4 linked regions of the Cricetulus griseus genome follow. The protein of the gene in region 3 purifies or fractionates together with the protein of the main gene of each other region. This does not show direct contact. Links are inferred from orthologs where the notes say so. Each region holds a gene or a part of one and is shown on either strand. Other genes may lie near its edges. The genes, in order: Sugt1, Dyrk1a, Lrch3 and Myo6.

Evidence for each region.
Region 1: the proteins of Lrch3 (region 3) and Sugt1 purify together in Homo sapiens (co-immunoprecipitation; 3 studies listed by BioGRID and IntAct, counting the BioPlex papers as one, with this or other methods). This does not show direct contact. The link is inferred for Cricetulus griseus from reciprocal best matches to the Homo sapiens genes LRCH3 and SUGT1.
Region 2: the proteins of Lrch3 (region 3) and Dyrk1a purify together in Homo sapiens (affinity purification with mass spectrometry; 3 studies listed by BioGRID and IntAct, counting the BioPlex papers as one, with this or other methods). This does not show direct contact. The link is inferred for Cricetulus griseus from reciprocal best matches to the Homo sapiens genes LRCH3 and DYRK1A.
Region 4: the proteins of Lrch3 (region 3) and Myo6 purify together in Homo sapiens (co-immunoprecipitation; 3 studies listed by BioGRID and IntAct, with this or other methods). This does not show direct contact. The link is inferred for Cricetulus griseus from reciprocal best matches to the Homo sapiens genes LRCH3 and MYO6.

What each region holds. Positions count from the first base shown.
Region 1 is NW_023276807.1:233,937,788-233,941,894, reverse strand, and holds the start of Sugt1 (protein SGT1 homolog), read right to left. Parts: upstream 2,845-4,107; 5' UTR 2,721-2,844; coding exon 2,683-2,720; intron 2,596-2,682; coding exon 2,538-2,595; intron 1-2,537. UniProt on the Homo sapiens protein: May play a role in ubiquitination and subsequent proteasomal degradation of target proteins.
Region 2 is NC_048597.1:3,174,656-3,178,221, forward strand, and holds part of Dyrk1a (dual specificity tyrosine-phosphorylation-regulated kinase 1A), read right to left. Parts: intron 1,957-3,566; coding exon 1,336-1,956; 3' UTR 1-1,335. UniProt on the Homo sapiens protein: Dual-specificity kinase which possesses both serine/threonine and tyrosine kinase activities. Exhibits a substrate preference for proline at position P+1 and arginine at position P-3.
Region 3 is NC_048597.1:56,585,874-56,589,439, forward strand, and holds part of Lrch3 (DISP complex protein LRCH3), read right to left. Parts: intron 2,006-3,566; coding exon 1,861-2,005; intron 402-1,860; coding exon 275-401; intron 1-274. UniProt on the Homo sapiens protein: As part of the DISP complex, may regulate the association of septins with actin and thereby regulate the actin cytoskeleton.
Region 4 is NC_048597.1:191,195,214-191,198,779, forward strand, and holds part of Myo6 (unconventional myosin-VI), read left to right. Parts: intron 1-614; coding exon 615-705; intron 706-1,373; coding exon 1,374-1,524; intron 1,525-3,499; coding exon 3,500-3,566. UniProt on the Homo sapiens protein: Myosins are actin-based motor molecules with ATPase activity. Unconventional myosins serve in intracellular movements. Myosin 6 is a reverse-direction motor protein that moves towards the minus-end of actin filaments.

The sequences.
Region 1 (4,107 bases), on a different chromosome or scaffold from region 3:
GCTAATGCCATCAGCAAACGTTGCAAGAATCATGCAGAAGAGCTTGCCCATCACGAGTACCAAGTGCTACACTGAGAACAGAGGAGTAATCAAGATACACAAAACTCCTACTTTTTTTTGTTGTTGTTGTTGGTTTTTCCAAGACAGGGTTTCTCTGTGGCTTTGGAACCTATCCTGGCACTCACTCTGGAGACCAGGCTGGTCTCAAACTCACAGAGATCCACCTGCCTCTGCCTCCTGAGTGCTGGGATTAAAGGTGTGGACAACCAACACTGGGCTTCGAAACTACTTTCATGCCTAATTCAGATTTACACAGGAAAGCTAGTTCCTCTGAGCAGGGTTCACTTGAGGTGAATTCTAAAGAAATAAACCTTCCCAGGTAAAAAATGAGATATAGGTCAAGTATATTTTTGGGAAAAAGAAGTAGACCTGAGTTAGAAGCACTTGCAACAGTACAGCTCTATAGAGTCCAGCTCACCAGAGACCCTGCCAGCCATTATAAGGAATTTGGACCTTCAGTGTGAGGGAAGGTCATGGAAAGTTTTAGTACAAGTGACATGACCCAACTTATATTTTAAAGTTGTCATTCTGGCTACTGTATCATTAATACAGTAAAATAAAGATGATCAGAAACAGTATCAGGTCCCCAAAGAAATATCTTTCCCCAAAGCTGGCATTTAGACAAAAGATAGCATTCCCTCAGAGGCTTCCTACATGCTAAAAGTAGTTATTCTGTGTATCTCTGGGAAAGGGACATATGTGGCACCAGTTAGCATGTCAAGGTCAACGCTAGGCTCCCTCACTCCCTACTTACAAGCACCCCCCCCCCAGCTCACAGGCTCCCTTCCTCCCAAGTACCCATTCCCACAAAATTCAGGAGATTCCCCTACACACATACACACACACCCCTTATTTCTCTGCTTTGCCTTGGCAGTTTAGAATGAACTTTCTCCCCCTTTTCACACACGAGCATCTATTTTGATTTCTTTACCCATTTTTATTCAAACAGAAAAAACTAACACATAAGTCCAGAATGTGTGGAAGCCACTGAAGTTATAGAATATTACATGGAATACACAGGAAGGAGCAGCATCTGTCGATGACCCTAGGACTTTGGGGGCAGCCTAGATCTGTACCCAACACCCAATCATTTCTTCCGTTCTCGGTCCTCCCCATATTCTCATTTATTTCCTTTGTCAGAAAAGAAATTTTGCTTCCAGTCTTAAATCTCAAAGTCATTAATGCCTTTTTGTTTGGTTTTGTTTTGTTTTTCCAGACAGAATTTCCCTGCATAGTCCTGGCTGTACTTGAACTCACAGAGATCTCTCTTTCCAGTCTGTCCTTCCCAAAAGCTGGGATTAAAGGCATGCACCACTACCACCCAGTTTGCTAATCCCTTGTTTTGGAACCGAATTATCTGTTTCACCTGATGATCACTCGGTGAACCTAACAATACAAAACCAAACTTGAAACTTTCAAACAACTATATAGTTCTACTAGTCTGCTAGCCTCTGGAAAAGCGGTTTCTTTAAGTCTCGGGATGTAAAAATGTTTCCCCCTTCCTAGCAAGATTCTTGAGCTCTGAAGGTCAGGCAGGGTTTCACACATCCAACTCATAGCCTCAACTCACTATGTCGCTGAGGATGACCTTGAATTTCTGACCCCTGTACATTCCTCCTGAGTACTGGGATTACAGGGCCTTCCCCACCATACTGACATATGCTAACGACTCTCTCCAGCCTGGCCACTGCTCTTAGCAACATCCGTACAAAGATAGTTTGTTCTAGAATTCACCAAAAATAGCCCAGAAACAACTCATACAACATTATAAAAATTTAGGCAGGGCATGGGCTGGAGAGATGGCTCATCAGTAAGAGCACTCACTGCCTGTTCTCTCAAAGGTCCCAGTTCAATTCCCAGCAACCACATGGTGGCTCACAACCATCTGAAATGAGGTGTGGTGTCCTCTTCTGGCCTGCAGGCATACATGTAGGCAGAATACTGTATACATAACAAACAAAAAGTTTTTAAAAAATAAAAAAAGGCGGGGCTTAGTGGTGCATCTCAAGAAATCACAGGATCCAAAGTTTAAGGACAGCATAGGTATATATAAACGCGTTTCTTTTTTAAACTGTACGAAGAACAAGGACAACCATCTTTAAAGTAAATGTTCTTTAGTAAACTTAGTCAATCAAGTACTCGTAACAGTACCTGGGCAACCATAACTGTCAAAACTAAAAAAATGCTACATTAAGCCCTATCTTCGCCTTTTCCTTGACCATAAACGCCAATAAATGAAGTCGTTTCAGGCCAACCACAGGTGGCAACTATGTGCCTGCGTCTGGGGAGTATAAAGGCAAGATCTATGGCAAAAGGGTCGCTGGGGGACAAAGAAATGGATCTCACGACCATAATACTGGGCCTGAGACACACTGAAAATTGTAGCTTTAGTCCCACGAAGGTAATGCTGGGAAGCAGCGGAGTCGGTAGGAACCCAACAATCCCAGTGCGAACGGAGCAGAAATGAACTCACTCACCTCTAACGCCGCCTGGGGGTCCTCGTCGATCAGAGCATCTGAGAAGCTCTGGGAAAACCTGCCAGGAAAACAACGACTTCAGCAGGGCTCACTAACCAAGGAAAGAACAGCAAGACACACAGCAAAGGGGAGGAAAAATACGCACCGCTGGGACGTTGCAGATCCTGCTGCAGGTGCCGCCATCCCTAAGAGCCACTAAAGCTTCGGCCCGAGCGTTTTCTACCTTGGTTACCACCTCTGCCGCGGCCCAGGGGGGGGAAACTTCTGAAGACACACCAACAGAGCTTCCGTCCTCGGCAGCCAATCAGCAGCCGCGCAGCATGCGGCCGCGGAAAAGGAAGCGGAGGGCGGGCAGATGGGCGCGGGGCCCGCTGGGAACGAGGAGGACACGCTCCCCGGCCCCGCCCCGTGTCGGTGACGCGCGCCAGGTCCCGCCCCGGGGGCGTGGTCATGGCGCCGGCGCCCCGCCGTCCGCCCGTAGGGGTTCCGCAGGGCTTGCGGGAGCTCTAGCGTGGTCTCCAAGCGGCGCTGCCAGGCGCCGGGACCCGTCGGGGGAGTTCGCGGCTCCGCTAAGGTGCGCCACGTTAAGCACCGTTTTCTCTGGTTTTCAACATGGCTGCCGCGGGCGGCCAAGCTGTGCGTGACGTCATCCGTCGCTGCCAGGTCTTCTTCCGGCCGCGGAGCCGGCTATGGCGCGTCGGTTCGTACGACCGTCAGCGGGGAGCTCCGACAGGCCGGCTCGCCGGAAGTGGCTTTACGGACGGGGAGAACGGGGTTTTCCGCAGGCGCTGCCGGATCCTAGCGCTCCACACCCCAAACTTCCTTCCTGCTCGGCCTTCCAAACCAAGAAAAGCCTGTTTTGCAGGCAGCGAGCGAATGAAACTTGGCCTAAATTGTCTTAGGGGTGCCTCGCGTGCTAACTAACGGGCCAGGCCTCCCCTCCCACCCTCGCCGCCCTTAGAGCCAAACGTCAGACTGGGAAGCTTCCTGTGCGTTGTTTGAGGCGAAGTGGTAACGGGCCACAGGAGGGAGTGGGCGTGAGTGGCTCAGTAGAGCAAGGAACAGAATTAAAGTACCCGCTGCCCCAGACTTGATTTCAGAGCTCCGGAAGTCGTTTTACAAAACGAATGAGAGGGTGGTCGATGTCTAAAAAGAATCACTGCAGCTGCAACAGATAACGGGGGTGGAATTTGAAAATAGAAGGAAACGTGAGCCCATGCTCAAGCTGGAGAAATGGAAGGGCACGTGAACTAAGTACGTGCCGAGTCATCAAGAGATAGCGGTGTGGAATGCTAAAAAAGTTTAAAGTGTAGGCGTGTCCCAGCTGTACAGTGAATGGGTGGTTTGAGGGGGAAAGACAAGTGTTAATGGAAGGTAACAGGTCAAGCACAGGAATCTGAATCCACTGACTTTAAGAATGGAGGTGTGAGAGAGACTTTGAGACTGTACAGGGCCTGCTGGCCGCTACACTGAAAGAGGTGCAGGTTTCTGGGTAAGCTGGTGAGAAGATACAGTTAGCTGAACTAAAAAAAAAAAAGAAAAAGAAGCCGGGCGTTGGTGGCACACGCCT
Region 2 (3,566 bases), about 53 Mb from region 3:
CATTATTGGTTACAGACATCTATGTGCTATAAAAACAGCTTTGGTACAATAAATTATCAAAAAAGAAAATAAATTTTTGTAAAATTCACAGCATAATTGTGAGGCAAAAAAGCAGTCACATAAAATTCTGCATTTTAAAATGTTCAGGATGAACAGAAGACGTCTTTGTGCAGAAGAAATGGTGAAGACACCACGTGCCGAGAAAAAGCCAAAGAAAAGGTAAAAAGCAGGAAGGGCACAGCTGTAGCTATTTCCATCAAAGCAAACCACTACATCTGTGGCCTTCAACCAATAAGGGGTCAGCTTTATGACACACGCAAAGTGACCTTGCAATACCTTACAATTAGTGGGTCACAAAAGTCTATTTTAAAAGAAAGGCCTCTTGAATTACCCATTCTCTGTGTTTTCAGGGTTAAGGACTGTCTGCAAACGCATGTCCACAAGTGATTGTATCTGAAATGGTAGGCTCTTCTAACTTCGAGTCCAAATCCATAAGGCCAAAGGTCATCCCAAAGACCACCACTCAGACCTCCCCAGGACTGGCCACAACTGACCCGCGCGGTGTTGCTTCTCAGTGCACCTTGCTGAGGAGACCAGTCCTGTTCCATTCCCATCTTCCCGGGGCCTCTCCAACAGGAAGGAGACCCACAGGATCCCATGGGATTGCTGCTTCGCTCCTCGGTGGGTTCAGATAGGAGAGTCCTGGTCCCCGCCACTTAGCATGCTTAATGTGCCTTACAAACTCCAACACAATCGTCCCTTTCACATAGCTGAAGATGGTGTTTGTGTGAGCTGGAGGTCCCTCTTCCTTACAGTACTGCATTTCCGTGCCCAAGTGTATAGAGGACATAAAAACCCTTATTTCCCAGCCCACCCCAACCCCAAACAAAACAAAACATGGGGAAAAGGAGAAAAATAAAAATGAAAAAAAAAAAAAAAAACCAAAAAAACAAAACACCCTTATGGGGCCCTTTATGCAAATTATGTGCAGTGCCTTTTTATTTTAAAATTAGTTGGCAAATGACCAAGACCAACATCTGAACATTTAACTTTTGTTGGATAGAAAGACAAACCCACTATGACCGGGAGATGGCAGGTTAAAAGGGGGGACAAAAAGAGGGCACCTGGGAGCTCTCCATGAAGACAGGTGGACATGGCTCTGAAAAACTTCTCTGTCCCTTTGCAATCTTTTCAAGTTAAAAAAGTCAGCTTTGCCCTCTTGTAGCGGTTCAGTGTGTTAATCTCCTTCTGATTCAAGCAGCTTTGCACTTTGTTTTTGGGAAAAACACCACTTCTATAAAAACACACAAGAAACAAACTCAAGTTTCAATGTAGTCACGAGCTAGCTACAGGACTCTGCTGCACACAAACTCCTGTCATGGGAGACTCTTCTCTATCAGCCCCCTGCCTCATCGTCAGGTGTCCTTCAGTCATGTAATGTGCAGGGCCTGTGTTAGCGGAAAATTGGTATGTTGGATGTCCAGCTATGCCAGTCTCTTGGCGGGGATTGGAGTAGACGGTTAAGTTAACGTCCATAGCTCCATTCTGTCCAAAGTCCAAGGCGTTAGCAGCCACTGGGCGGTTCTGATAGGCCTGGTTGCCTTGATTACCAGTAGAGGAGGAAGATGTGGAGGAAGAAGTCGTTGAGGAAGACAGGGATGTCATGGAGTGGTGGCTATGGCCAACCTCCATAGAATCCTGGGTAGAAGAGCTATTTGTTGGAGAATTGTAGACCCTTGGCCTGGTCCGGTTACCCAAGGCTTGCTGTCCATGGTGGTGGTGGTGGTGGTGGTGGTGGTGGTGATGATGGGAGCTGTTTCCATGGTGATGATGCAATGCGTTTTGCGGAGGGCCTACATGAAAGGTTGTTTCTTGAACAGGATGAGTTTCAACAGTGACTTGTGTAGGAGCTTCAGTGCCTGACCAGCCCAGAGGAGCCGGGAATGGCTGGCGCACCTGTGAGGGAAGACATTAAGGAAGGGTTATTCAGCACTGCTTCCAAGCTTAACCTACACCTGAGCATCTGCACTCAGGTGGGTGAACTTGGGGTTGGTGGCGGTGGGGGTTGTTGAAGCTTTTAACACACTAGATAGTTCTATACCATAAAATTCTATGTAAATTCCAGAGCAAAAAATGTTTTACAATTAAAATCAGCCAATTTTAAGAAGTTACACTCATGTCCAGGTCTCCATGTCACCGTCTACACCAGGTCAGTAAGCTTTCTATAAGGAACCACCAGGACATCTGGCAGGTCCATGAGAGCCTTCATTTCCCCTTGAAGTCCCTCTTCCTTCCAGATCTCTTGATACAATAAAAGGACTCGTATCCACCCAGATGTCTGACAATTCCTCCGGACTCAACCCAGCATGAAGTACCAAAGAGATACCTCAGACCAGATCCCAAATCTGACCACTTTTCTTACCGCCATCACCACTACCACTTAGCCTAGGCTAATGCAAAGGCCTCTTCACAAAATAAAAAATTTAACACCCCCCCCCGCCCCCCCGCTTCCACAGTTGTTCTTCTCAACCCATTGAGAAAAGCAAGACTATCCTTTCAAAACAAAAATCAACTCATTCCTTTACGGACTTGGATCCCAATCTCCCCAGACCCTTCTCACCCTGACCTGACCTGAGACTCATGGCATCTGCACTTGCTGCTTTCTCCCATCAAGAGCACGTTTATTTCTAATCTTTGCTTACATTCCCCTTTTAAAATCGCCATGTCAGTTCCTGAGTTCCCGGATGTTCTGACTCATGCTGCCCCAGCCCTCTGTGGCCAGGCTACTGATGTGCCCCTCTATGTACAACATGACTGTACCGGACTCTCCAGCCCCCTTCATGCTGGGCACAGCCATCAGCACAACTGTGGCTGAAATGAGCGTGACTTTAGATGTCACTCACTGTATCTAGTGCAGTTAGGTCTGTCTGCTGGGCACCATGGCCTGGGCAGCTGACCTGAGGGCACGTGGAGTCACACGGGGGCGACACAGCAGTGCTCTGGACACTGCATCAGCTGCTTCTCTGTTACACTCAAGGAGGGAAAACTCTTGCATCCTCTCAGATTTACTCAGATAGTGTGCAGTTAGTCTGTTAGTCACTATACCTCACGAGCCTTGGCTGCCTGCACTGGAGTCTGCACTGCCCAGGGCTTTGCCACCACCATGAAGGTAACTCCCCAGAGGCGCACACCTCTAGACTTTCCCTTTCTGTAAGTATCACTTGCCATTTTTGTGTTTTGCTGCTTACTTGTGTCAATGTAACCTCTGAAAAGGCAAAAGCTGTCTCTACCACTAGTTTAGCACAAAATGTTAAGTTCTTATTTAATAAAAGTTACATGGGAATGAAAAGTCCTGAAAATCCAGTAGGGGAGGACAAAACTGGAAGATAATCTCACAAAAGAAAATGCAGGTTGAACATCCTTACTCTGGTATGAAACACTTGAAATGAGAGCATTTAACAATTTCAGATTAGGGACATTCAACTGGTAAAAAGTGAACAGCTACAGCAAAATCTAAAAGAACTGAAATCGAAGTGCTTGGAGTCCCAGCACCCTCAGATAAGGAG
Region 3 (3,566 bases):
TGATATTAAAATTTTAATTTGAAAACTCAACTACATTATTAACTATGCCTCAAAAATTTAGTAACACAGAAATCATTTAATGCTAGTTAGAAAATAACCAATGACATGTCCCCATTTTCTGTGGAGATATTAAGACTTGTACATTTAAAACTTACTTAATTATATTTCAAGCCAAAGCTATAAAATTATTTTCAAAACAATCTTAGTATTCAATTTTTATCATAGAGAAGACTGCAGACATGTTGGACAATCAAAAAATAAAATATTAACTTACAAGTTCCGTCAAATGTCTGAGATGTCCAATTTCTTCAGGAAGTGAGACCAATTTGTTATTACTAGCAATTAAGACTTTCAATGGTAAATTACACAAGTGTACTGGCAATGTTGACAGTTGGTTCCGACTAAATGAGTAGAGAAAGAGCAGTCAGACACCACTGATAAAAAAGTTTCCATCTTTGTCATTTTAGATACAAAAATAAGTCTTAGAAGGAACAAATAGGATACTAGATTTTAGTTCTTGTCAGTTTAATCAGTTCCCAGCTGACTAAACTTAAAACAGATAACAGGAATTTTTGTTTATTAAAAAAGAAAATCAGAAACACAAAATAATAAAGCACAACTATCATTAGTACAAAAACAAATTAAAGTTTACTTTGTAAATTTAACCCCATAATAATTCTTTTAGGGTCAAGTCTTTCCCCATTTTCTTTTCTTTTTTTGGAGCCTATCCTGGCACTCCCTCTGTAGACCAGGCTGGCCTCGAACTCAGAGATCTGCCTGCCTTGTGCCTCCTGAGTGCTGGGATTAAAGGTGTGGGCTACCAACGCACGGTCTTTCCCCATTTTCAAGATCTTTTTTGTTCAATAATATAGTTAATGGACTTTAAAAAAAATTTTAATTGAATAATAATTCTATTCCTACACATGCTTATTAAGAAAAGGTTAACATTTACATGCAAATTTCTCTAGTAGTGCTATTTTTAACATGATTTTAAAAACTTCTAGAACTAAATATCTGAACAGAATGAATTCTATTTTTTATGTTTTACTTTTATTTTTAATTAAGCATGTATGCATATGTTAGAGAGGTGGGTCTAAGCACGTTGAGTACAGCACCCAAAGAAGCCAGAGAGGGCACCAGATTCCCTTGGAGAAGCAATTTGTGAGCTGCCTGACTAGGATGCTAGGAACTGAACTCAAGTTCTCCGAAAGAGCAGTATAAGCTTTTAAATACTAAGTCATCTCTCTAGCCTCAGGAATGGAATTTTTTTAAGGCATATAAACTGGGCACTTCTAATGTCCAACAAGATGGCTCAGTGGGTAAAGGCACTTTTTTACAAGAATGGCAAGCTGAATTCAATCTCTAGAACCCACATAAAAGTGGAAGTAAAGAAGTGATTACACAGTTGTCCTTTGCCTCTGTATGTGCGTTACAGCACAAACCCAAATACTCACATTATATGCACACACAACAAAAACACCAAAGTAGTGTGTTTTGCTGGGGACTGAACCTAGAGCCTTGTGCACACCATGCTCTTACCAGCTAAGCTGTATCCCACCCAGTCCATCAGATGTAGTATTTTCTTGAAGCTAATTTGAAAATGTAACTGGAGAACCATGGCTGCAAGACTTCTACAAGCCTATTAAGCTAATGGCTAGCAGGGTCTGTTAACTATGCAAAGCTAAAAATAAAGGGAGAAACAAGAGAAACGAGGGAGAAACTGTCATAATATCCTAAGAACCTATTAGAAACTGCTGGTGTGAACAGGTACCATAAATAACTGTAAACATTTTAGTGACAGAGAGGTTCAAAATTAAAGATCATATAAAACCACTTTTTCTGAAAGAATACTATTCTTACCTAATATTTAAGAACGTCAGAGCTTGTAAGTTTAGAATGGCCTCTGGGATATATCGAATACAATTCTGGTACAGGTTAAGACTTTCCAGAGAAACAAAGTGACACGCTTCCATAGGAATTTCTGAGAGGCGATTTCGTGACAAGTCTGAAAGAAAACAGAAAAACTTAAAACAATTTGGAACTTGTTTTACTGAAATTCATTAGTATGCTTCATAGTAACTTGAATTCGCCAGAATTCTTATTGTGGAAACTGGTTCAACATAAACTTTAAAATATTGATTAGTTGTGTGAATAAACCACTAAGCACACGTCTTTAAACTGTTGCTGGGAAATGTTTCATTTTTACTTTCTACACACACTAAAAATAAAATCATTATTCTTTATAAGTAATACATATTCTAAGACATTGGCCATTCATATCAAAATTGTATCACTAAATTCCAATAACATCGGAAACAAGTGGATCCCTCCCCCAAAATCCACCTCCCAAGTAGATATTTGAGAGAGAGAAAGAGAGAGAGACAGAGAGAGAGAGACTGAAGCTACCCTGACATATTCATGGAGGCCAGTGGACAACTGCCCAGAGTAGGTTCTCTCCTTCCACCTTGGGACTCAGATCAGCTTGTCAGGTCTCGGCAGCATGTACCTTTTATCCTCTAAGCCATTTCCTCAGCCCAACTGTCCTACTCTTTACCAAAGAAATCATGATGCACCTGCTGTTCCCAAGCTGCTAACTTGGTTTCTAGGTCCTTTGAATTTGTCTTTGTATTTTAAAATGAACTTGTTAGATCTCAAAAAGGTGAACACTTTTTGAGTTTCCCAGGATCACCCCAATTCCAACAAGGTGGGAAGAAAATCCTAGGAGCATTGAACCTTCAGTCTAAAAGCACACACAGCTCATCTCCTCGGCAATGGAGCGTTGAATATAAGACAGCCTCACAATTTTCCTCAGGGATTGTACCAGACTTCTGGTATATTCCCAGATCCTATTATTTCATAAATGATGTACTTCTAATCACTTGCTACTCACATACAGAAGTAAAATAATTGTCATATGTTATTTTGTATCTGACAGCCTTGGTAAACTTTTAGTTCAAGTAACCTGTCTACAGATCCCTTCAGACTCTTTACACAGCTATGAATAATGGAGCCTTTGTTTCTTCCTCTGTGCTTCCCATTTATTTACGTAATTTCCTCACCCTGCTTGTTAGAACATCAGGCATAATGCTGAATAAAAGTAACAGTATCTCTTTTGTTTCTAATTTTAACCATTTTCTTTGTTGATTCTTCATAAAATTAAGAAAACCCTCTTAGTTTGCTAAGACTTTTTATAGGTAGTGGTTATTAAATTTATTAACAATTTTTCCTCCTCTATTGAGATGATCATATGATTTTTATATTTTATTACATTAATGAGGAATTTTCCTTATTAGCTTTTTTTTTTTTTTGTAAAGGTAAATGCATTAAGAAAATGTGAGCTTTCGGGGTAGTGGTGGCACTCGCCTTTAAATCCCAACACTCAGGAGGCAGAGGCAAGCAGATCTCTATGAGTTTGAGGCCAGTCTGGTGTACAGAGCAAGCTCCAGGACAGGCTTCAAAGCTACAGAGAAACCCTATCTTGAAAAACAAAACAAAAATAGTGAGAAAGTACTAACTCCCAGGAGTAAAAGGAGAGCCAAGAGAGGAATTCCCAGTTTTTACTTTAT
Region 4 (3,566 bases), about 130 Mb from region 3:
TATGATAAAAAGACACCTTTAATCCCAGCACTCGGGAGGCAGAGGCAGACGGATTTCTGTGAGTTGGAGGCCAACCTGGTCTCCAGAGTGAGTGCCAGGATAGGCTCCAAAGCTACACAGAGAAACCCTGTCTCGAAAAACCAAAAAAAAAAAAAAAAAAAAAAAAAAAAAAAAAGACAACAGAACCTCTTTTCCCATTATTTTCCAAGTAAAATATGAAAGTTTCCCACAGGCTCAGTGCTTTCGGCTTTGTCTATAGTGCATTTCCAGAAGGAAGTAAACTCTGTTTCCTAAACTCATTTGGCAGGTTAACTTTTTAAAGAAAGTTATAATATTTAATAGAACATTTAAGAGAAATATGGCACAGAAAAGTTTGTTAATAGTAGTGTTGCACACTTGAGAATACATTTGAAATAGAGTGCTAGCCACATCCATCTTTTTTTTTTATTATTTTTAAGAAGTTAAAGAAACTTTAGACTTCCTGCCTCTGATCACTGGAATAACATATACATCAAGATTTTATGAGAATTGCTTTGTGGGAATGAATGAGTTTTTAATTTATGTCCTATTTAAACCAATATGTTTCTGTCATTTTATTTCACTCTTACACATAGTGAAAAACAAAATACAATATCGAGCTGAAGCGTGCATTAAAATGCAGAAAACGATTCGAATGTGGCTTTGCAAAAGGAGACACAAACCACGGTAAGATGAACAGTGTCTGAAGATCTATACAAATGGCTTGTTTGTGCTGTGGATTTGGAATCCGCTCATTCGTTACTTAGCTTGCTGTTCTACCACAGGGTTTGAGTGGCTGGCAGACATGTGAACACTTAAAGATTGCAATGAAAGACCGAGAGAGACTGCCATTCTGGTTACTGTATGATTTGAGTTTCTTGATAATGCCAAGTTAGATGCTGTTTTGGAAGACACCCACCAGCCTGGTGGTAATTTCAGGAATGTTCATAAAATAATCTTACTTTGCTGGTGTGTCATTTCACTGAACATATTTCATTTTCATCTTACTTAAAATTTGTATTGCCAGGTTACTTTTTAAACTTTGGAAGTTTGGATAGCTATTGACACCACACCTTTTCAAAGAAATGTTGGATCATTTGAGTTTATAATTTCAATGAATCCTCATTTTTCTGTCTAAATATAGCTGGCCTCCATGTTATTGATGGCCATCAATGCTAATCCTATGTGTATTTGATTCTTTTCATACTTAATGAGAGACCTGAACAGACTACTAAACAATATTGAAGACAGAAGTAGCCTGCCCGTGTAGCCGCAGTGTTCACTGTTTAGCAATGAGAGTCCTCCTAGAACATTAGTTTGTGAGGTAACTAGCTGATGGAGCCTTACTATTGCAGCATTGATGGCCTGGTTAAGGTGGGCACCCTGAAGAAACGACTCGATAAGTTCAATGAAGTAGTAAATGCATTGAAAGATGGGAAGCCAGAGGTGAACAGACAAATCAAAGATCTGGAAATTTCTATTGATGCTTTGATGGCCAAAATTAAGGTGGGTCATTTTCATCTAGCTAACTTGAACTTTTTATATAATTTACTGTTTCTTGTTATTGATATTGAACTTTATGCAGGAAAACACACTTACTTATTCAAGATATGAAACATTAAAAAGTAGATACCCACATTAATTTTTTCTCAATATGTAAAAAATTTTGTATTAAAAAGATAATCTTTATGTGATTTTTTGTTTGTTTGTTTGTTTTTGAGACAGGGTTTCTCTGTGGCTTTGGAGCCTGTCCTGGAACTAGCTCTTGTAGACAAGGCTGGTCTCGAACTCACAGAGATCCGCCTGCCTCTGCCTCCCGAGTGCTGGGATTAAAGGCGTGTGCGCCACCAACACCCGGCTATATGTGATTTTTTTTGTCTGTTGTTAGGCAAAATATTACCCTGTAGAGAGTAACTAAAATACTAAAACTTTGTTGTTAAGCTTTTACAGTCATTATCCAGGGAGGGTTAATGTAAATTAATTCCTTTTATGCTTTTCTACTTTCCAAAACAAATTTTTTTCTATTGTATTTATTTTTCTTTCTGGAGGTGCTGGGTCTTGAGCAAAGTTCATTGAGCATGCCCTTCTACAGAGCTACGTCCTCAGGTCCCGGAAATGAAACTACTAAATTATAAAAGTAATGTGTCAGTGTTGAAAATGGAGCGAAAGTCATCCAACACTCTTTTGTAGCAGCACACTAAGCGTTCAGATAATATGTGTTACCGTTTCCTTTATAATCATACTTTGGACGCATACATTTTTACATAGTTCTCCATCATAATTATGTGTGTCACTTTGTACCTCTGCTGTTAGGATACATGATTTGTTGTGGTTAACACATGACCTTCATAATTTACTTAGCTATTTTAAAAGTAGCACTTAGCTTTCTTCATTTTTAAAGGAGAAAGTGGAGCAATTTTAGGTTTGATTTTTCAATTGCTTGAATATCAATGTGACTAAAAATATTTTCTATAATGCTTGTTACCACATTTCATCTTTATTTCAATTTCCTCAATTATATGTTAGGGTGTTTTACAGGTTTTCTCAAGTAGCACTCAGAAGTCAATGCACTTAAATTAAGCCTTTTGTAGTTCCTGTTGACAGGTTAAATATTAGAGGTAGAAAGAAAAAAATAATGAAGAAAAGGAAGAAAATGCTACAAGTAGATTTTGATTTTACAGATCAAAGGTGAGACTGGCTTCAATCAGAATTAACCCAGGAAAATCATCCAACAGGTTTAGTTGTAATTTCCCAACATTCCTTAGGTACTAATTGAATGGTGTAAGTAAAGAAAGCAAACTGGCTAAAGGAGATAGTCATTCCTTAAAAATATTTTAAAGCTACATTTATACAGCTTTTCTCACAGCCTGCTACTGATATTGATGGCTTGTTTGAGAGGACCTAGACTCAAGTATTTATGTGTGGAGAAGATTTTCAAGGAATATGTGACTAGCTGGACACGATGGTATACACCTATAATCCTAGTGTTTGTGAGGCTCCTGAGCTCCATAGCTAGTTCAAGGATACCCTGGGCTACGGGAAACTGTTTTAAAAAAAAAAAAAAATCTTTTTTTTTTTTTTTTTTTTTTTTTTTTTTTTGAGATAGGGTTTCTCTGTGTAGCTTTGGAGCCTATCCTGGCACTCGCTCTGGAGACCAGGCTGGCCTCGAACTCAGAGAGATCCGCTTGCCTCTGCCTCCCGAGTGCTGGGATTAAAGGCATGCGCCACCAACGCCGGCAAAAAAAAAAGATATTAACATAGTTTTGTTGATCAGTTTTGCCAGCTATTTATATATATCTTAGAGGTTTTTATTATTTATTTTATTTTATTTATTTATTTATTTATTTTTTTTGTGAAAACCCCAAACCATTGAACTTATCATTGTGTCCGTTTTAAAGCGTACAGTTCGGTGGTTTAAGCATATCCACATTGTGCAGAGGAGGTGATTCTTAAGGACATGTTTGTTCTTTGGTTTTTTAAGTCCACCATGATGACAAGGGAACAAATACAGAAAGAGTATGATGCGCTAGTTAAAAGCTCGGAAGATC